Linked DNA regions of Stegostoma tigrinum. Each later gene encodes a partner of the first gene's protein in a complex. Links are inferred from orthologs where the notes say so. Each region holds a gene or a part of one and is shown on either strand. Other genes may lie near its edges. The genes, in order: plekhm2 and ADP-ribosylation factor-like protein 8B-A.

Region 1 (11,703 bases):
TGAGGTTCAGATCCAAGCAAAAAGGGTACACTGAACCTTTATAGGGCTCTTTCTGGACTGCAACTAGAGAGCTTTGTCCAAGTCTGGGCATTACATTTTTGGGAAGGGTGACAGGGTCCTAGAGATGGTACAAAGATGATTTATCAAATGACATCAGGGGAGGATGGTGGCATAAAAGTAATATCATTGGACAAATAATCCAAAGGTCCAGGCTAGTACTGTAGTGACAAATTCAAATCCAACCAGAACTGATGCAACTTATTCAATAAATTTGGAACTGAAAGCTAATTTCACAGAAGGTCATGACACTTATCACTGATTGTTGTAACAACCCATCTGGGTTACTATATGCACTCGCCAGTGAAGGTTGCAGAATAGTAATGGCCCCACCTCTGAGCTAGCAGGCCCAGGTTCAAGTCCCAGCTTCTCCAGAGATATGTCACAACACTTTTGCAGGTTAATCAATAGTATGTATGCACACACCATCCTGACTTGGAAATATATCCCTGTTCTTTCAGTGTCACTGGGCCAAAATCTGGGAATTTCTCCCCTCATTATATCACTGGTTTACTGACATGAAATGAACTGCAGCAGTTCAAGAAGACAGCTCACCACCACCTTCTCAAGAGAAACTAGGGACAGCCAGAGTGCCCACATTCCCTGAATAATTAAATAAATGACTAGCATCGTTAGGGAAGGAATCTTCCATCCTCATCTGGTCTAGCCTGTTATAGTTTCAAATCCCGTGAGTGCTACTATCTTAAAATTGACCATTCCTCCTCACTGTCCCCATGTTATAAATGTCAGATATGAGATGTGGCCACTAATCCTTCTTGTTGGTATGCTTTGTTTATTGATACCATGCGGGAAGGGTGCCCACACGCATCTGAGACAGTAAATAAGTTCAATCTTGAAGAAGAGTAATTAAATTTATTATATATTGGCTAGCTACATTTTGTTTAAGACATAGGACTGCCTGTTGTGGTTAATCAAAATATAGGAGCAGGAATAGGCCATTCAGCCCTTTACCTGCTCCAACATTCAATATGATCATGGCTGATCATCTAACTCAGTTCTCAGTTTAAGTTTTCACTCCATACCCTTTGATCCCTTTAGCCTTAAGAACTACATCAAACTTCTTCTTGGAAACACTCACTGTTTTGGCCCCAGCCACAGAATTTCACACTCACCACTCTCTGAGTGAAGAAATTTCTCCTTTTCTCAGTCCTAAATGGCCTCCTCCCATACCCTTATATTGAGTTTCCTAGTTTTGAAATTCTCTGTTATTAGTACTATCCTTCCAGCAGTTATCTTGTCGAATCCTATTAGAAACTTATAAAATTCTGTGAGATCCTCCCTATTCTTTTAAACTCCAGTGAATATAGTCCCAATCAATTCAATCTGTCTCCCTACATCAGTCCTACCATCCCAGGAATCAGGCTGGCAAACCTTTGTTGTGCTCTCTTCAAAGACAGAACACCCTTTCCCAGATGAGAATAAAACCTTACATAGTACTCTACGTGTATCTCACCAAGGCCCTGTACAGTTACAGCAAGGCATCCCTAATCCTGTATCAGACTCACCTTAAGTGTAAGCTTCTGATACCACTACACTATTAATACTAATACATTTGCACACAGCATTGACAACAAGCGCAGAAGCACACAGGGAACCAGTTATCCCCTCCCAGGATGTCCTTTATATCCTGATGAGTGCAGCCTATCTCATAATGTCAGTCAATCCTTTCAGGTCCTAATACATGGTCCACATGTGACTCCAGATCCACAGCAACGACTCTTAACTGCCCTCTGAAATTCAGCAAGCCACTCAGTTCAAGGGCAATTAGTGATAGACAACAAATGCTTGCCTTTCTCGTAACATCTCTATCCCATGGAAGATTAAAAAGATAAAGAAAGGTAAAGTCTGCTAATGCTAATTGGATACTGCAATGTAACAACACAGGAAGTGATGCAACTTCACATGACCTTGTCTCTCGCAGTCTTAAGGAGGGATGAAGCTGCAGTAAGAAAAATAAAATTAAATAAATTGAATGCTTTCCTTGCTTCATAAGATTGCAAATACTCTTTGGGATCAAAATGAGACAAAGAATATTATAGGTATAAGGGATGAAGAAGCTCACTCTCCTTTTCATTAAAATGATTGGCACAAAATAACTGAAGGTAATGTGAGGAAAAACATTTTTAACGCAATGGGTGATTAGCCTATGTCTGTGGTGGAACAGGTTGAATCATAACTTTCAAAAATTAATTGGGCAATTAAATGAAGTGAAATATTTTAAGATCTTCAGGGAAAGGTGAAGTGAGTGCAATTAGTTCAGTTGCTGTGTAGAGAAATGGGAAGGACATGAAGGCAGAATGACTTCTTTCTGTGCTAAAGCTATTCTATTATTTTTGAAGGATAAAGCTGGATAGAATATAATGTGTCAATTGTATTGAATTTTCAATGGTTAGGTTGCATATGCAATCACATCTTTTGTTTCCAAGGTTTACCTTGAAGAGACAAATATATCACTGTCCATTCTGGCCTTCTACACACACTGTTAGGGTGTCTTCGTTTAAATTTATGGGTTTGAAGACAATTTAAGGAATCAAAGGCTATGGGAAAAAAGTAGGAATATGACATTGAGACAGAAGATTAGCCATGATAATATTGAATAGTAGAAAAAGTTTGATGGGCTAAATGACCTACTCCTCCTATTTTCTATGCATGGGTTTTGATTCTTGCCTCGAGGCCAATATTTCAAAATTTGGACAGTAGCAACTTGTTCATCCCAATGAACAGCAGCAAAAACTCCATTATGTGACAGGACTTTCACCCTTGCGTTTTTTTGGCTACAAAAGTGTTTTTCAGACTGGAGGTCTGTAACTACCGGTGTTCCATAGGGATTGGTGCTGGGTCCACTTTTGTTTGTTATTTATATAAATGATTTGAATGAGAATTTAACGGGATAGTTAATTAGTTTGCGGATGACACCAAAATTGGTGATGTAGCTGACAGTGAAGAAGGTTATCCAAGATTACAAGGAGACCTTGATCAATTGGGCCAATGAGCGGAGGAGTTTAATTTGGATAAATACCAGGGATTGCATTTTGGTAAAACAAATAAAGGTCAGGACTTGTACTGTTAAGGGAAGGGACATGGGTAGTGTTGTCGAACAGAGAGACATAGGGGTTCAGGTAGATAAAGCTGCGTCACAGATAAACAGGGTGTTCAGAAGGCATTTAGCACACTTGCTTTCATTGCTTAGAACATGAGTATATGAATTGGGATGTCTTGTTGAGGTTGTACAAGACACTGGTAAAGCCTCTTCTACAATACTGTGTCCACTTCTGGTCACCCTGTGAAAATTGGAGAGGGTGCAGAAAAGATTTACCAAGCTGCTGCTGGAACTGGAGGGTTTGGTTTATAAGTAGAGGCTGCATAGGTTGGGTTTTTTTTCCCACTGGAGCATAGGAGGTTGAGGTGTGCCCCTACTGAGGCTTTATAGAGTCATGAGGGTCAAAGATAAAGTGAATAGCAATGGTATTTTTCCTTAGGTGGGCAAGCTCAAAACTATGTGTCATAATTTTAACAAGAGGAAAAAGATTTAAAAGGGACCTGCAAGGCAATGTTTTCACACAGAAAGTGGTTTGTATATGAAATGAACTGGCAGAGCAAGTGGTAGACGTGGGTACAATTACCATATTCAAAAGACATTTGGAGAGGTGCATGAATAGGAAAGGTTTAGAGGGATATGGGCCAAATGCAGGCAATTGGAGCCAGTTTAGTTTGGGAAAACTTGATTGGCATGGACAAGTTGAACTGAAGGGTGTGTTTCTGTGCTGTATGATTCTATTACTCAATGGCCATCCGACTCCACCCACCCTCATCTCACCTGTCCACCCAGCCACTTGTGGACCTCTGAACCTCTTTGGCCATTCAATAAGATCATGGTCAATCTGAATACTCCACATTCCCACCTAACCCCAGCAATCTTTCCTTCACCCCTCGCTTAGCAAGAATTGATATATCCCTGCTTTAAAAGTATTCAGAGATTCTACCTCCACTGCCTTTTCCAGGAAGTGAGTGCCAAAGACTCACCACCGTCTCCAAAAAAAAGTTGAGTCCTCATCTCTGACTTAAATGGACGAACCCTTACTTTAAACAGTGATCCATCATTCTAAGAGCTCATGAAGTACGAACGACTTCTAGAAAATGTTTCAACACCAGTTTGTTACAGACTGTGGGTCTTTCCTTGGCTTCAGCAGACAGTGATACTTATTCACTGCCATTCTGCTGCATTCAGCTTTCAAGACCATCACAAGGCAAGTAACATAATCAAATGGTGGGCCAGGCTCCTGAAACTAACCAGAATATAACTTGTTATAATCATGGTTTCATATTCTGAAACATTGAGTGAAGATCAGCTTGGTGAGGTATGCAAGGAATTTCAGCAAAAGTAGTGTCATGCATCATGCATCATCAGTTCTGTGGAAGGGTCACTGGACCCAAAACATTAACTCTGTTTTTTCCTTCACAGATGCTGGCAGACCTGCTGAGCTTTTCCAGCAACTTTTTTTTTCATGCATCACGCACTTTCTTATGGAAAGCATGATTACGTGAGTCTCTTGCCCCTTTCAGTAGGTGATTGGCAAGGGGGTAGGCTAAACAATTTAAAGAAAAAAACTTTGGCATTCTTTTGATTGCTTTTTGGTAGTTGAACTGAATAAGGTGTGCGATTTGTTGAGTGTGGGCAGAGCTACTGCAGTTGCTACAACCGCCCTCACCCCTGGATTAAAGGGGGTAATATGATGCAGGGCTCCTGCAGCTGATGGGGACGCAGTGATCTCAGTGGAAAGGTCCTGGGTCTGTTTTCGTCACCGGCTGAAAGCCACACACAGAATGGCCACTTTGGGGGAGGTACTGAATCAGTTATTAGTATGGGTGATAATGGGAACTGCAGATGCTGGAGAATCCAAGATAATAAAATGTGAGGCTGGATGAACACAGCAGGCCCAGCAGCATCTCAGGAGCAGCCTGCTGTGTTCATCCAGCCTCACATTTTATTATCTCAGTTATTAGTATGGACCTGACTACAATTGCATTCAGGATACAGTCTGCTCATCATGCCTCGCAGTTGCTTTCAAAGGGCCGTTCTAATTCATCTCACTTCCACGTAAAAATTAGAAAAGTAGGAAACTCAGTATCAACTCAAATCCATATTTTATTAAAACAGCGCTTGATGGGAGTCTGCTATTTCAATAGCTCAATGACACCACCTGGTGTTTTACATGGGTTGATTTTTTTCTTGCCTACCCACACATAAATAATACGCCAGAACTGCAACTTCGGGACTCCGTTCAGGAGGGTACAGTAGAAATAAAACCTGCCCCTTGAGGTCAGAGATGATGGGAACTGCAGATGCTGGAGAATCCGACATAACAAAGTGTGGGGCTGGATGAACACAGCAGGCCAAGCAGCATCTCAGGAGCACAAAAGCTGACGTTTCGGGCCTAGACCCTTCTTGAGAAAGAATCAGCTTTTGTGCTCCTAAGATGCTGCTTGGCCTGCTGTGTTGGCCCCTTGAGGTTGTGGTGTGACGGGAGTCCCGCCTCTTGAGATGGTCGGAACTGCAGATGCTGGAGAATCCGAGATAACAAGGTGTAGAGCTGGACGAACACAGCAGGCCAAGCAGCATCATAGGAGCAGGAAGGTTGACGTTTCGGGTCGGCACCCTTCTTCCTAAGGAAGGGACAACATTAACCTATGCTGAGATAATAAAATGTGAGGCTGGATGAACACAGCAGGCCAAGCAGCATCTCAGGAGCAGAAAAGCTGACGTTTCGGGCCTAGACCCTCGAAACGTCAGCTTTTGTGCTCCTGAGATGCTGCTTGGCCTGCTGTGTTCATCCAGCTTCACACTTTATTATCTTGGATTCTCCAGCATCTGCAGTTCCCATTATCTCTGATACTATATTAACCTATGCTGCCTTGGTTTGCCTTCAGGCTTATTTACCCTGAAGAAGGGTTTCGACCCGAAACGTCAAACTTTCCAGCTCCTCTGATGCGGCTTGGACTTCTGTGTTCATCCAATTTCACACAGTGTTATCCCGCCCCTTGAGGTCGTGCCTAGTTGAAGTCCCGCCTCTTAAGGTCGTTGTCCAGCTGAGGTCCCGCCTCGTAAGGTCGTTGTCCAGCTGAAGTCCCGCCTCTTAAGGTCGTCGTCCCGCTGAAGTCCCGCCCCTTAAGGACAAACGGCGGAGGTAACCCCCGTGACGTCAGGCGCTTCTCAATGTCTGACGCACAGCCCGTCACTCAGAATGCAAGAGCGCGCACGCGTGGTTGTCGCTTTCGGTGATCGGGCGCGCGGTCACGTGTCGACGGGAGAGCGCGCATGCGCGCGCGCCCTAACCGGTGAGGGGAGTGAGCCGGGCGTCAGCGGCGAGCCCCGGGGCCTGGGCTGGTCTTTGCTGGTGAGGATGCTGAGGCCGCGAGTATGGAAACCCTGAAAGTGAAGGATCGGATCCTGGAGAACATCTCGCTGTCGGTGAAGCAGGTGAGAGGCTGGAGTCTGCAGCACCTTGACCGGCGGATTTAGTGCGTGTCATTACTGCCGACCCGTTTGGTCGCCCAGCGGCACTGCCTGAGACAGGGCGTTGTACAGAGCCAGGCAACAAAAAATTGGCTTCTATTTTTTTATTAGGAAGCATTCCAGTGTTGTTAGGATCGCACTGTACCATTCTGCCTGTTTTCCAGGCTAAACTGCAGACCAATGTTCGAAGTTGACAACTGCATCCACCTTTTTAATAGAGAAAAAGGGGTCTGGGATTGAGCAATCACATTGGCCTGATGAGCTGAATGGCCCTGGACTTGTTTCTCACTTCGTTGCAGGAGCCATGAAAGCGCAGCCTGCTGTGTTGTGATGCTTTGTCGTAGGTTGGTAATCTCAACGGTAATCTTTCGACAAAAAAAGCCCTTAATCAACCTCTGTAAAAATCTTACCATTTATGCGTGCATTCTCCCTCGCATAGACATTGTTTACGTTTATAACGGGCACCAGCCTTTGGCAAATAATCCTAGCTATTACCACTGAAGTGAATTGCAGAGGCGTTTATCGCAGTCTGAAGCATGGGAGAAGAACAAAAGAGAAGTACAGCCCAGAAAGAGGCCCATTGTCCTTCCAAGCCTGTACCAATCATCATGCCCTAACTAAATTTAAATAAAATCTTCTGTCCATGTCGCTCTATTCCCTCCCTATTCATGCCTCTTAAATGTCGCCAATGTGCCTGCTGTCACCACCTCTTCTAGCATTGCGTTCCACGCTCCAACCCTGGATATCCTTATCATGTTGTGATCACTCATCACAACAAACCTGTTCATTTAGTACTTCAAATTTCAAATACATAGATATATTTAATGAAAAGCAAAAGGTCAGCAGACGCTATAAATCAGAAACAAAAACATAAGTTGCTGGACAAGTTCAGTAAGTCTGGCAGCATCTGTGGAGAAAGATCTGAATTAATGGTGCAGTTGCTTTTTTAATAATACCATTTGATTTGGGCTTCTAAATGTTTTAAAATTGATTAGCAAAAAGTATTATAATGATGTATGCACCACCACCACCTCGGTGTAAACTCACATAGTTTGTCTGCCTGAAGTTATGGATAATAAACTATGGCACCAGCCCACTGGCTAGCTACAGTGGGAACTGTATTCTGTACAGATCATTTGTAATCTTGCTGAGTAGCTCCTTATTGTCTGACGTGTTTGACAGTTCTTAAATTGAAGCTCGAGTGTACTGGGCAACAGGTACTTTCAATCATGTTTCCACATTTGATTGTCTAAATTCTGTAAATTTTTGAAAGCAATGTTGATACTGGAGTACTTTCTAATCTGGACACCAATTGTCAGCATCAAGCATGTTAAGTCAAACAGCCACAGAGATCCACATCCTTTGTAATTGAATGACATTCTCTTTATCTTTTCAATGAATGAAAATTCAAACTAAAATTCAATAACTGACTTTAAAATCGTAAATTCTTCAGTGTATTGTCCAAATCCAATTTATTTTAGGAAAGAAGAAAGCGCGCCTCTTCTTTGTAGAAGTGCCTATTCAAGAATTAATATTTGGAGTAAATTCATTGTTAATCCTTTCACATATGCTAAGGAATGTAATAACTAAACATATTTAAATATTTACACACTGTACAAATGTGTTTGATCATTCTGCCACACTGTATAACTAGCAGAACAAATAGAGCAACAATTGTTATACAATGCAGAAAAGACCTCGTTTATGTTCAGCAGATCCAACAACATATTGAAGAAGTTAATTGTGGGTTCTACTAAAAGAATATTCAATAGATAAAACCCTGGTGAATTTATTTGTCACATTTTTGCCTAGGTTGCCTACTTCTGTAGAATTGGGGCTATAGTCTGAGAAATAGGGCTAAACCATTCAGGAGAAATGTTAGGATGCACTTCTACAAAGAATGGTAGTGTTTGAACTCTCTTCTACCAATGAGTATCAGTTGTTAATTCTAAACGTGAGCAAAGGTATTAAGGGATATGGGCCAAAGGCAGGTATGTGGATTTATGTTACAGATCAACCATTATTTGATTGATGGAACAGGCTCAAGAGGTTGAATGGCATTTTCCTATTCCTGTGTTTTCTAGTTGAGAGTTTTTAATTGTCCATTCTGAAAATAATTGAACTAATAAATTCCTGCTCATGATGTTGATGGTAATGCCAATTGGGCTATGTTGAACAGCATGGTTTTGTCCTTCATTGGAGCTGATGATCTTTTATGCTGTACGATACATGGGTTCTGGATTGGCAATTTGGGGTCCAGCTGATAAGTACTTTTGGTTTCAGCTTCTTGTATCTAACATTAAACTGTGTGAAGTGAGTCCTGTGGATTGTGTTGGTATTGATTGAAATCATGTCCGTTGTGCTCCTCCATGGCTGACAACCACACTGTGACCCAGGGCAGGTTCCTCAGCTACAGGGAGGATGCAGTTGGGGAGGAACTTGACGATAATTTTTCCAATAGTCGACTGCAAGGAGATTCTGCTGTAGTTACGCAGTTGGCCCTGTTCCCTTTTCTGGAAATGCTCGTGACTGTGGCATCTTGGAGCGCTCCCAGGATGCTCTCCTCCTTCCAGATAAAGCACACTAGGGCATGTAGCTGCAGCAAGAGCTTTTTGCCTCCCTACGTCAAAGCCTCAGCAGGGGTACCATGTCCACCAGAAGCCTTGCTGATCTTAGGCTGGCAGATGGCCTTCACTACTTTGTGCAGAGCTGGGGTGTTGCTGAACTTGTGGCATGTAGTAAGCTGTGGGATGCATTCGAGGATGCTCGGATCGATGACAGAGTCCTGAAAGGAAGTAACAAATGCTGCATAGTAGAGGGTGGGTTTTTACTGTGCAACAGCTGCAGGAGAAATGCAGAGAAAAGAACCTTACCCTGTACGTGGCCTCCTTTAACCGTATTGGGAAGCATCGTGGTGCGGCCTTCTCCACTTTGGTTGCACCATGGAGTTTGTCATCATCCTTTGCCTGCTCTGTGATGACATGGAAGTCATGGTAATAATAAATGGCTCCACCAGTGCATCCCCCATTCAGTCCCCAGTGTCAAGCAGGGCTACATCATCGTTCAACACTGTTCTCGATCTCCTTCGTTGCAGTGCTTCACCTCACGGCTGACAAGCTCCCCACTGGAGTGGAGCTAACTCTCAGAGCCAGCAGGAAATTGTTCAATCTCTAACACCTTCAAGCCAAACCTAAAGTCACCCCAACCACTCATCGAGCTGCAGTATGCAAATTAACGCCTGCGTATGTGCAATCTGAGGATGTGCTCCAGACCATCATCAGCACCTTTTGTGGAGGCATATGAGAGCATGAATCTCATTCTGTACATCCGCAACATGAAGGTCCTCTGCCAACCAGGCCTGGAATTGTGGAACGAATCCCCAATCATCAAGGCCCATGGGAAGGCCTTAAAACAACATTGGCCACTTCCAATACCTCCTATCGGCCAAAGCAGTTATTGTTGAAGAGATCCAGCACCACCTCCAGTCTGCTAGCGCAGTCTTTGGCTGCCTGAGGGAAAGGGTACTGGAGGACAACAACATCAGATACAACATCAAGATGCTGGTTTACAGAGCTCTGGTGGTTTCCGGCCTCCCATATGGCTCTGAGACATGGACTGTCTACAGCAGACACCTCAGGGCACTGGAGCTGTACCACCAATGCTGTTTGCGCAAGATCCTGCAAATCTGCTGGGGAAGAAAGACGCACCAATACCAGCGTCCTCAATCAGGCCAACATCCCCAACATCGAGGCACTGGTCGTGATGGACTGGGCACATCGCCTGTGTGACCAACACGAGATTCCCCAGCTTCAAAATGGCAGATGAACCCCATGTGGATAGAGGAAGCTCTTCAATGATACCCTCAAGGCCTACCTGGTGAAGTGCAGCATTCCCAGAGACACCTGGGAATTACTGGCACAAGACCATCCAGTGTGGAAGAGCAATGACCGGAAAGGCGTCAAGTTCCTCAAGGCTTACTATGGGCTGGGAGAAAGCAGAAGCCAGACGATAAAAAGAGTAAGGAGTGCACTGCCACACCAACATTCCACCCACCTTTTCCCACAACCACCCGCTGCCCCAAGTGTTTAAAAAAAGAACCTGCAAAAGCTGCATCAGTCTGTACAGCAACCTACAGACTTGCCCTGAGAGTGGAAGAGAGTTATCCTTGTCTGTAAGGGATAGCCAGTAATGTTGGTATTTATTAAATTTTTTAAAAATTAATAATGGAGTTGGGTACAGTTAACAAATTTAAAAGATATCTGGATGGCTGCATGATAGGAAAGTTTTAGAGGGGTATGGTCCAAATGCAGTCACATGGGACTTGATCAGTTTAACATATCCTGTCAGCACAGATGAGTTGGACTGAAGGGTCTGTTTCCGTGCTGTATGACTCTAACAGATACTTCACGTGTTTATGCAATGTGGAACAGATCGGGAATAAATTTCCATTTAGCGTACCACAAGATAGTCCCAGATCATTTGGTTAGATCCAACACTGCTTGATCAAGCCCTTCCGACTGTGGCATTTTTAAATGATAATCAGTTTATATGGTTCCTTTTAAATGTACTTTATTCTTGGATTTGGTTGGTCTCTGAGATGAAAATTGCTACATTTTGTTTTAGAGATGCTTGCCATCCAATAGATATTTGATTCTTCTAGTTTAAAAATACTGCAACTCTTAGCTTTGCTTACTGCCTAAGTAAAATCTACAGTGTGATGTCTAAATGTCATTGGCCTCCGGAGCTTCCATTTCAGCCCTACATTGACTATACCCCTCCTCATGGTCATACTTAAAAACAGCATTGCTGCCCATTGTTCACCCCTTCTACCAGTGGATGTGGGTAAATTTATTATGATCTACACAAACCAGCGAGGTCCTGGGTTCATTTTCTGGCCTATGCTTTGCAAGGCAGTTGTCCTTGGAAGGTGGTGAAGTCTAAGTTTTGAGCCATGTTGCTGTATATTTTTCCACTAACAATCCTACAGAGGACCCCTTGTATAATTACACATTGGAAATTGCAGACCCAGAAATGTTCAAGTAGAGCATTAACGTAGATTTGTTTTTAAAAGCAACCTGTTCTTTGATGTCATTACACACTTCTGAAGCAGG
Region 2 (11,407 bases), on another chromosome or scaffold:
GCAATGATAGCAAGGGCAGATGGCCAACTGGCACTGATTTATTGTGCAATGCAAAACAAAAACCCAAAATGACCTGAGGAAAAGTTTTTCACAAAGAATGGCTAAAATTTGGAATGCACCGCCAGTTTGGGTGATGGCGACAGGTTCAGTAGAAGCTTTCAAAATAGAATTGAACAAGCTGTTAATGGGGAGAAAATGCAGGGATCAATGGAGAAAGTGAGTGAGTGCTGATGCATGGATAGACAAGCACATTACATTGTACAAGGGGTTGCTCATAAACTCACTTGCTCAGACCCACCTCTTCCAGTTTCAGTAAATGACAGCAGCTGCTTGGTGGTCTGTAAAATTATACAGTACAGAGGAGACCCTTCAGCCCATTAAGTCTATACTGCCAAAAATATACTATTACCTACATTAGTCCCATCTTCTCACACTAGGCCCAGAGCCTTGAATGCTATGACAAATCAAGTGCTCATCCAAGTGCTTTTAAAGGTTGTGAGTTTTCCCGCCTCAATGACCATTCCATGCAATGCATTCCAGAACCTCACCAACCTTTGGGTAAGAATGTTTTCTTCAAATCCCTTCTAAACCTTCTGCCTTCTCCTTTAAAATTATGTCCCGTTGTTAGATTCTTCTAATCAACCTGTGTAGCGATGCTATTACGTATCTCTGGAGCAGGTGGGCCTCGAATCCAAGCCACTGTGACTCAGAGATAAGAATATTACCATTACACCACAAGAGCCCCTATTGGAACCTTGTTATTCGACTAAGAGAAACAGGTGCTTTCTATTCACTTTATTCATGCCCCTCATAATGGTACAGACTTATATTAGGTCTCCACTTTACTTTCTCTTCTCCAAAGAAACAACCCAGGCTTATCTAGCCTCTTTTTGCAGCTGAAATGCTCCATTCCAGGCAACATGCTGGTGAATCTCATTTGCAAGCCTGACAGCACAATCACATCCTTCCTATCGTGTGTTGGCTAGAACTGCACACAGTACTCCAGCTGTGACCCAACCAAAGTTTTGCACAGCTCCAACATGACGTCCTTGCGTTTATAATCTATGGCATGACTGATAAAGGCAAGCCTTCCATATGCCTTCTTAACAAACTTGTTAACTAATTCTGGCACTTTCAAGGATCTGTGGACAAGCAACGCAAGATCTCTCTGTCCCTTTGAGCTTCGAAATGTCTTCTGTTCATTGATTACCAGTTTAACTACAAGAGTCTGATTTAATTAACAAAAGATAGTTTTTTGCAAGTGAACAACTGATTGCAGATTACATTAGTATATAATAGACATTGTTACAGAGAATTGAGGAGGGCCACATGTTAGGTTCAGCTTCTTTGAGATTCTTATCTGACAAATGTATAAGACATTAACATCCTATGGCACTCCTCTCCTCCACAAATCTCAACAGGCTGATTAATTTTTTAAAATCCTGTCATACCAATTTAAACACATATGCATCTCTTCCTAAACTTTTTCTTCTCATTATTAATTTATACCATTGCATATATAATTCCATTTACAGCTGCCCACCTCACCCACCACCCCCCAGAAAAAAAAACTGTAACGTTACAAATTTAGGCAATTTGAGCTTTCTCTATTCACCCAAACACATTCTCATCAGGTTTGGAGGACTCGTAGTTAGCTGGGTAGAGGACCATTGACTTTGATTCTTTTCCTGACCAACTGAGATTTTTGGGTCAGCTCATTGGTTAAGTTGCTTATTTGGTTTGCTAATCAATCAACGGTAGACAATTAACCCGCAGTGCGACAAGGTTCTTAGAGTCCCTATGTGAACCCACTTTGTTAGTACAAGCTATGTACTATCTCTGCTGGTCTACAACTCCATGGATGGCCATATCTCTTCTTTTTTGATCCATGACCAACACTGGTCATCCCAACACTAAATGTGATGACTGTCTAGTGCAACAGCTGCTATTGTGTGTATGGCTTGTTGTGCACTCAGGGCTCAAGTGCAGTGGAGGCCAGACATTGGATGTCTTCAAGGCAGAGATCGACAAATTCTTGATCTCAGAAGGAATCAAGGGCAGGGAAGTGGAGTTGAAATGCCCATCAGCCATGATTTAAATGGCGGAGTGGACTTGATGGGCCGAATGGCCTTACTTCCACTCCTATGCCTTATAGTCTTATGGCTCCTCTCTATTCTATATGTGTTAATAGTTCAGTAGACAAAGTATGGAACCAATTTCCTTGGTAGAATGAGGAGTTGAGTCTTCAGTCTCCATCCCATCAGCAACACTGGTGGCACAGATCACATTTAGCAGTGTCAAAGGGAAGTCAGCATACAAGTGAGTGACTGAACTGTTGTGACCCCAAATATGGCTTTCCAATTTGCTCATAATCACAATAAGTTCCTCTTATGCTTTAACCTCCAGATTTACAGGTACTATTGGGATTTGGTTTGTATTGTTTATAGTGAAGATAGAAGAAAAATATTTATAAACTTCATCCACAATTTGTTTATTATTTATTAGCTCCAATTGCTGTAAACCAATAGAGACACAAACACACACAAACACATACAAAAGCTCTGTAAGCCAATGTATTTTTCATTCTTGTGTTTTGTTAATCACTTTCAATCTTGTAATTATAAATTTGTTCCCTCTCTGTTACTTAATGTACACTGATGGTGGCGGTGTACTGGGTTTGTTTCATGGTGCATCAAAGAAAAATAAGGTATTCTGGTGAAAGAAGTGCCCTATGGTTTTGACAATAAGAAGATACAATGTGGAAAAAACACAAATTTTTGTCAAAGGTCTGTGATGTCAAAAAAAACTGCTGGTAAACTATGCCCCATTGTTTCTGAGACCATAAAGATGTCAGAGGTGGATAATCCAGTAACTGAAATGGAACAGTGGACAGAAGGTCCACTGAGACACCAATTCCAATAAAGACAGGTACATGAGGTGGAACGGTTTAGAATGAAGTGGACCAAACACAGGCAAACATAGTTAAATTTGGGATACCTGGTTGGCATGGATGAACTGGACTGAAGGGTCCATTTCCATGCTGTGTGTCTCTATGACTCTATAAGACTGTGATGAAATAAAACTTAGAAACAACTCAGGGAAGGGTTATAAGAATTAAATTGCGAACACCACAGAAACCTAGATTGTTCTCGGATAAAGAAACAGGGAAATGATTTATATATAGGTTTTGTCTTTGTGCTTTTCTACAAGGTTGTCCTGCTCTTTGTGTGTCTTCCATTTGAGACCCAGCAGAATGTATTAAGTTTCAGTTTTATATCGGGTCGTGTATGTTTTAAAGCTGTTGCGTGTTTAACGTGTGTGAAAATATCCCTATACAAACTGCAGGAAAATTGACTCAAGGATAGTTCATGATAAAATACATGTTTCAGTTTTTGGACTCAATTGCTTTGCTTGATCTGAATGGAATTTCTAGAAGGATCACTCTGGGAGAAGGTTGTAAATAAAATCTAAATTGAAGAAGTAGGAAAATTATGTTCATCCAATGAAAACTTGGAGACATTGTTCTTTTCCCTCCCTGAGATTGTAAGAGACTATTGTTTGTCACCAGTTTGAAAAATCTTTCTTAGAATCAAAATTATTTTTAAATTGAATGAGTGCTGTGGAGATTGTGTGAAAATGTAAGGAAACTTTCAGCAGGGATTATCTTTAGGTGATGGCCTAATGTATTGTCTCTAGACTATTAATCCAAAAACTCAACTAATATTCGAGGGACCCGAGTTTGAATCCTGCCATGGCAATTGGTGGAATTCGAATTCAATTAAAAACCTCTGGAATTAAGAATCTAATGACGACCACATAACCATTATCAACTGCCCAAAAAAAAAATTTGGCTCACTAATGTCCTTTAGGGTGAGAGATCTGACATCCCCATCTGGTCTGGCCTATCTGTGACTCCAAATCTACAACATTGTGGTTGATTGTCAACTTCCCTCTGAAATGGTTGTGCAAGCTACTCAGTTGTATCAATTGCTACAAAGTCTCAACAAAGAAATGAAAGCAGGTGGACCACCTGGCATCAACTTAAGCACCAGAAAAGGCAATGGCAGAAACAGCCTTGCATATTCCTCCTTACCAACATCTAGGGGTTAGTGCCATAATTGTGAGAGCTGTCTCACAGCCTAATCAAGCAACAGGGTGAAACAGTCATACTCACAGAATTATACTTTACAGACAATGTCCCAGACACCACCATCACCATCCTTGGATGTATCCTGACCCATCGGCAAGAGACTCCCAGCAGAGGTGGTTGCATAGTTGGGAGGGAGTTACCCTAGAGTCCCCAACATTGACTCCGAACCCCTTTGAATTCATGTAGCTTCAGGTTAAACATGGGCAAAGAAACCTACTGCTGATTATCACATACTGTCTTCCCTCGGCTGATGAATCAGTACTCCTCCATGTTGTACAACACTGGAGGGTGGCAAAGGCAGAAAATGCACTTTGGGTGGGGAATTTCAATATCCATCACCTAGAATGTCTCAGCTACTGATTGAGCTCATCGTGTTCTGAAGGAGCTAGCTGTAAGACTGGGCTGCTGCAGGTGGGGCAGGAACCAACAAGAGAGAGAAAAAAAAATCATACTTGACCTCATCGTTACCAATCTTCTGGCTGCAGGTGGTTCTGCCCACAACAGCATCGGTAGATGTGGCCAATGCACAGTCCTTATGGAGACGAAGTCCTGCTTTCACGTTGAGAATATCCTCCATCATGCTGTGTGGCATTATCACTATGATAACTGGGACAGACTTTGAACTGATCTAGCATGTCAGGACTGGAATACATGAGGTGCTGTGGGCCAACAACGGCATTAGAATTGTACTCAAGCACAATCTGCAACCTCATGGCTCAGCTTAACCCCCGCTCAACCATTACCATCAAGCCAGGGGATCAAAAACAAAGTTTCTGGAGAAGCTTTGCAGGTCTGGCAGCATCTGTGAAGGAAAAAACAAAGTTAACGTTTCGGGTCCGGAAACCTTCCTCAGAACTGAAACGCTAACTCTGTTTTTTTCCTTCACAGATGCTGAGCTTTTCCAGCAACTTTGTTTTTGCTACTGATTTACAGCATCTGCAGTTCTTTGGGTTTTTATTTAAGATGGTGGAATCAACTCTGGTTCAATGGAGAGTGCAGGAGGGCATGCCAGGAGCAGCACCAGGCAAACCTAAAAATGAGGTGTCAAACTGGTGAAGCTACAAAACAGGGCTCCCTGCACACCAAAAGGCTTGGACAGCAAGTGATAGACAGAGCTAGCATAACTAATAGTTTGGATCTAAGCCCTGAAGTCCTGCCACATCCATTTGTGAATGGTGGTGGAAAATTAAACAACTCACTGGAGGAGGAGGCTCCACAAACATCCCCATCCTCATTAATGGAAGAGCCCAGCACATCAGTACAAAAGATAAGGCATGAAATTTTCACAGCAATCTTCAGGTATAGGTTACATTGAGAATGATAGCTATTGTTTCAGAGATTTTGAGGAGGACCAGACATTAGAGGCAACTCCTTTAACTCTTTCTAAGTTGTTTTGCCCACAAATCCATTTGCAACTATCATAGTGGGTGGTGTTTATAGCTGGCCTCAGAGTTAACCCTTTCAGACCCATATATTATGTGCAACCACCTGGAATGGTCTTTGAAAAGGCTCGTGCAAGTAGGGCTGAATGGCTTCCAATGCTGAATGATTCCATAATATCTGAAGCACTTACAGTTAACGAGATGCTTAATAAGGTAGACATTGCAATGTAGGAAATGCAGTGTGCACTGCCCCCATAGTCAGCGGTGAGGCAAATAACCTAACAACCTGTTTTAGTGATGTTGTTTGAGTGACAGGGGACAGGCCCTGTGGTTTCTTTAACTCATAGTGATGGAATCTTTGATTGAGCTGAGGGAGCAGACTGTGTCTTGGTTTAACATCTCCCCAGAAAGTGGCATCTCTGATAGTGCAGCAGTCCCCCCGCCCTGCAGTTGGAATGCCAGTCTAGATTATGTGCTCATACCTCTTGAATAAACTCAACCTTCCGACCGAGGTGAACAGTTGACACATTTACACATAAGTAAATGAAAATCTCCTTCGGTTTTTTTTAATGCATGGATTATGCTTTCCATTGTTTAACGATTCATTAAAAAATATGCACCTGCTTTCAGTTCTTTAGAGTCTCTTTACTCCATTTATTTCAAGCTGCTCCCTTATCGTGGCTCTGGGAGTGTGCCTAAAGCGTTGACATTTGGACACATAGCCCTCCCTTTCACTGGGCAGCTGATGTTACGCTCTTCCCTTGCTCAGCTGTCATATGATCACCGGCTGCGGAGCTGCAGACATAAGGCAAGCTGAAGCTGAACTGGTAGAGCAGCAGGAAGTGGAGAGCTGGAGCCAGAGAAGATGAGCATGTTGGTGCTGATTAATAAGTTGTTGGACTGGTTTAAGTCCCTGTTCTGGAAGGAGGAGATGGAGCTGACCCTGGTCGGGCTGCAGTACTCGGGCAAGACGACGTTTGTGAATGTGATCGCGGTACAGTGAATCTACTTAACCATGAACCAGTGCCTAAGTGTTTCATTGTGTGTTTATTAATTATTGTCACTATCATTATTCATCACTTATCAGTCACCTTTGACCACCAGGACGGGAAGCAGGCCCTGACTTTAGGGCACAGCCTCTCCCTCTTTCTTCACCTCCCCCTCCACCCTTTACCAGCGAAAGCACTTGGTGTTAAAACGGAAAGCTTACGGAGAGCTGAGGCTTGGATGGGAAGCGCTGTACTCCCTTCTGTCTCAGCGGCCTTTCAGGCTTGGGTACCCAGCTCGGGCGTCAGTGAAGAGCTGCCCTGCTCCTCTCAGTTATATATGCTCCTACTAGATCCCTCCTGGAAACGGCCTTATCATCATTTCCTGCCAATGATTGCATGTTATGGTGCTTTACTGTTTATGCCCATGTCAGTCTATATTATTTCCAGCTTTTAGTGTATGAAGATGTACCTTTCCTTGCTCAGCACCCCACCCATCGCTAATGTGATAACATCATTTTATTTGTGTGTGTTTGTACGTCTGTGTATGTACACATATACATTGTGCTATCATGTATGGTCCAACTGATGAGTCACCTGATATTGCACAATCCCTTCCCAGGAGATAACAAGTTGTGTCAATCATTCACATGTATAACTGGTTAGCAACATCACCAATAATTGTTAATTATAAATTCTGGGGTGATACTTTCAAAATGATCATTTGCACTGTGTCCTCTTTCAATAGCTAAAAGTACTTTTTCTGTTTTTTTCAGTGATTTTAATTTTTGACAACCTTGTTTTTTCCCTACCATCTCCGCCTCCTCGCAAACTTAGAGATTTCTGCGATTCTTTATAGAATTGCAGCTGGATGTCAAGGAGAGAATGAAAAACATTCTTCGTGCTGTAATTTAAAATAAAAAAAACAACTTTATTTCCTCCTGTGCGATTATGATTTTATGTAATTCATAGTTGTTTGCCAAGCAAGTTAAGAGAAAGCTTGCCTCTTGTGTTAAGTATAGATTGTCATTGGACAGAATAGTTACTGCAGTACTGTAAAACTCAGAAAATGATGTTTTGAAAAAGCTCAAAAATCCATATTTGCCTTCAGATGCAGAACTTCTATCCATTTTGGAATACCTTTCTGCATTCCTGTATTTTAAAATGGGTGTTTATTTTTAAAGAGAGTTAGCCCCCAAAGGCAATTGTGTCCTTTAATTTTCAATAGAAATAATGCAATAAGTTCATCAGCTCCCAGTCTGGTTGAGAAAAATGGTCATAAGCCCTAAAATGTTTTTCCTATTTGCTTCTGATTGCCACCTGACCTCCAAATATTTCCAGTATTTATTTCCAAAACCACTACAGCACATTCTGTCTTCTTGCATTGACCAGTCATTTACTTTTCACCAGCCTCTCTGGGGATGCTGACTCATCAGCTAAGTGAAAGACAGCTATCTGGTTGTAAACCTGTTTGATTCTGATTGTGACAAGCGTAAATCAATCCCTTTTCATTGCCTGCTGCCATTTTAACATGGTTAACCACACACCATTCTCTTCCAACATCTTGCCTGAGAACATCCAATTGTGTGGGATTGTCATCACTTGGTTCCATTGCTAATTATTCAATCACCACTGGAGAATGATCAACATTGATTTCCCTTCCATCCAAGTGTCCACCAAGGATCTGTCCACAGTTCCCTCCAATATCTCATTTACATTGTGCCTTTCAGTAATACTCAAGAACAAATCAAGTTGCAGATGGAACTCTTCATGAGATCCATCGTTTTCCTGTTGGATGAATAGAATTTCCTGCCAACTGAATATTGGGAACCTTGGACATTCGATGTCCAACAAAAACTCTGCTCCCTACTCATTGACTCCATCCCTTTCCTTGGGAACTGTGTGAACTTGAACTAGATTGTTCACAATCACCTACTTGTGCATCTAACTTCAACCATTTTCAGTCTTTCCTTGGCCTATCTGCTGTGGAAACTTTCAACCACAGTTTTGTTACCTTTAGAATCAACTATTCCAATAATGGCTAGCCTCCTGGTTTGCACTCTTTGTAAACGTGAGGTCATCCAAAACTCAGCTGCCTATTTCTCATTCAAATCAGGTGCCATGTACCGCCTAACATTCCTTGGCTGTCTGTTATGCCACATAGTTATTTTCAAGTTTTTAACGTTGGTTTCAAATTTCTTTCTACCTGTACAGGGAAGATGATGATGTGGTGATAATTTCACTGGATTTGTAATCCTAAATTTCAGGCAGATGGTCTGGGCACAAGAGTTTGAATTCCATCGTGGGAAATGGTGAAATTTGAAATCAATCAATAAATCTGGAATTTAAAGCGAGTGTAACGTTGACTATGAAACTTGTTGATGTCTCTCATGTCTTGAGAATTGGCTAATGGGCAGGAAATAACGAGTAGGGATTACGGGTTTATTCTTGTGTTGGTGACCAGTGACCAATGGCATTCCATAGGGATCAGTGCTAGGACTCCACCTGTTTACAATATATGTTAATGACTTGAAGGAAGGAAGTGAATGTACTGTTGCCAGATTTGCAGATGACACAAGTAGGAGGAAAGACAAGCTGTGCGAGGGATTCAACAGTTTACAGAGAGTTATTGACAGGTTAAGTAAGAGGACAAAAAGTTGGCAAATGGCAAATAATGTGGGAGGATGCAAAGTTCATTTTGGAAGGGACAGCAAAAGAACAGAATTATTTAAATGGACAAAAATAGCAGAAAGCTGCAAAAAAAGGACCTTGAGGTACTTGTGCATGAAGCACAGAAAGCTAACACACCAACGCAGCAAGTAATCATAAAGGTTAATGGAATCTTGGCCCTTATTTCAAGGAGGTTGGAGAATAAGAGTAGGGGAGTCTTACTGCAACTGTACAAGTTGCTGGTGAAATCACATCTGAGGTACTGTGAGCAGTTTATAGTCCTGTATTTAAGGAAAGATTGGAGGCAATTCAGAGAAGGTTTACAAGGATGCTCCCTGGTATGGAGGGACTGTCTTATGAGCAAAGGCTAAACAGTTTGGGATTCAATCGTGGCGTTTACAGGAATGAGAGGTGATCTTGGGGAAACATGTAGGATTCTTAAGGGGCTTGACAGAATAAATACTGAGAGGATGTTTCCTATCATAAGAGAATCTCAGACGCCCTCTATCAATATCGTGGGAATTACCATTGATCAGAAACTTAACTGGACTCACCACATAAACACAATGACTACAAGAGCTGGTCAGAGACTAGCAGTAACTCACCACCAGACTCCTGAAAGCCTGTCCAACATCTACACAGTACAAATCAGGAGTGTGATGGAATACTCCCCACTTGCCTGGATGAGTGCATCCCCAACAGCACTCAAGAAGCTTGACACCATCCAGAAAAAGCAGTCCACTTCATTCGCATTATGTTGATGAACATCTACTCCCTCCACCACTGATGCTCAGTAGCCGCAGTGTGTACTAGCTACAAGATGCGCTGCAGAAATTCACCAAAGATCCTTAGACAGCACCTTCCAAAGCCAAGACAACTTCCACCTATAAGGACAAAGGCAGCAGATACATGGGAACACCACTGTTTTCAAGTTCCTCTCCAAGCCACTCACCATCCTGACTTGGAAATATATTGCCAATTATTCACTGTCACTGGATTCCCTCTCTAATGGCATTGTGGGTCAACCCACGGCAGGAGGAATGTAGTGGCTCAAGAAGGCAGCTCACCACCACCTTCTCAAGGGCAACTAGGGATGAGTAATAAATGCTTGCTCGTCGGTGACACCCACATCCCACAAAAAAATGATTTCTTTTACAAAAAAGGCCATAGTCTCAGAATAAAAGGGCACCAATTTAATACTGAGATGAAGAGGAGTTTCTTCTGAAAATTGAGAATCTTTGGAACTCCTTGCCACAGAGTTTTGGGGGCAGAGTCCTTGTGTATATTTAAGGATGTGATGGATAGATTCTTGATCAGTCAGGGAATTGAGGGTTACGGGCAAGGCCAGGAAAGTGAAGTATGCCGGAACAGCTATTCTGTTGAATGGTGGAGCAGGCTTGAGGGGCTGAATGGCCTACTCCTCTTTCAATTTCGTATGGTTCCTAAGAAAAGGAGATGTATTGTGTTTATCTGCTCTGGCCGTGTGACTCCAGACCCAATGCCATCTGAAATGGTTGAGCAAACCATTCAGTTGTATGTAAGTACTGTGAAGCGTAAGAGAAGGAACAAAACCTGATAGAGGAATCAGCATCGACTGAGGAACCACAAGCGACAACGGGAAATGTAGCCCTTTCAGCTCTGCAAAGGCTGAGAGGAGTATGAAGCAGGTTAACGTCTCTTCAAGGCAGATTGGAAAGTGTGCACACCAGGTCGGCATCCCTGATGCAGCCTGGGAGGATTTTGCAGCAGGCCAGTATCCCTGTGATGCAGAGTGGATCTCGGTGAGAAGGGCTGCAACAAGAGGAGATACAAACTGGTTGCAAAGAACCCCTCCAAACTGTTTGTACCTGTCGGGACTGAAGTGTGGTGTCACAGGACAACATCCCCGACTCGTTGATACTTCTGCTGTATCTGTCTAGATTAGCCACTTAAATCGGGAGATATTACAGCTGAAGAATATGTTAAAACTGTTAAAATATTTAACATCCAAATTAATTATTTTAATCAGAGATGGCTGGGCAGGAAATGTGTTGCAGTTCTAGTTTGTGGGAACTGGTGGATGCTGTCATATTCCATGGTGAACACATCTTCAGCAAGTGAAGAAAGGACCCGACCCCAAATGTCAGCTTTCTTGCACCTCTGATGCTGCCTGGCCTGTTGGGTTCCTCCAGCATCACACTATTATTTCTGACTCCAGCATCTGCAGTTCTTGCTGTCTT

The links.
Region 2: the proteins of plekhm2 (region 1) and ADP-ribosylation factor-like protein 8B-A are in contact, whole or in part, in a crystal structure (PDB 8JCA), measured with the Homo sapiens proteins. The link is inferred for Stegostoma tigrinum from reciprocal best matches to the Homo sapiens genes PLEKHM2 and ARL8B. Residues at the interface, in NP_055979.2 of Homo sapiens: His70, Phe71, Thr72, Arg73, Arg74, Glu75, Glu103, Ser105, Glu107, Ser108, Tyr109, Arg111, Leu112, Glu115, Glu147, Phe148; in NP_060654.1 of Homo sapiens: Glu22, Thr52, Val53, Gly54, Phe55, Asn56, Met57, Lys68, Trp70, Arg77, Phe78, Arg84, Tyr85, Arg87, Gly88, Val89.

What each region holds. Positions count from the first base shown.
Region 1 is NC_081381.1:31,745,407-31,757,109, forward strand, and holds the start of plekhm2 (pleckstrin homology domain-containing family M member 2), read left to right. Parts: upstream 1-6,382; 5' UTR 6,383-6,496; coding exon 6,497-6,556; intron 6,557-11,703. UniProt on the Homo sapiens protein: Plays a role in lysosomes movement and localization at the cell periphery acting as an effector of ARL8B.
Region 2 is NC_081371.1:14,231,320-14,242,726, reverse strand, and holds the start of ADP-ribosylation factor-like protein 8B-A, read left to right. Parts: upstream 1-6,278; 5' UTR 6,279-6,397; coding exon 6,398-6,526; intron 6,527-11,407. UniProt on the Homo sapiens protein: Small GTPase which cycles between active GTP-bound and inactive GDP-bound states.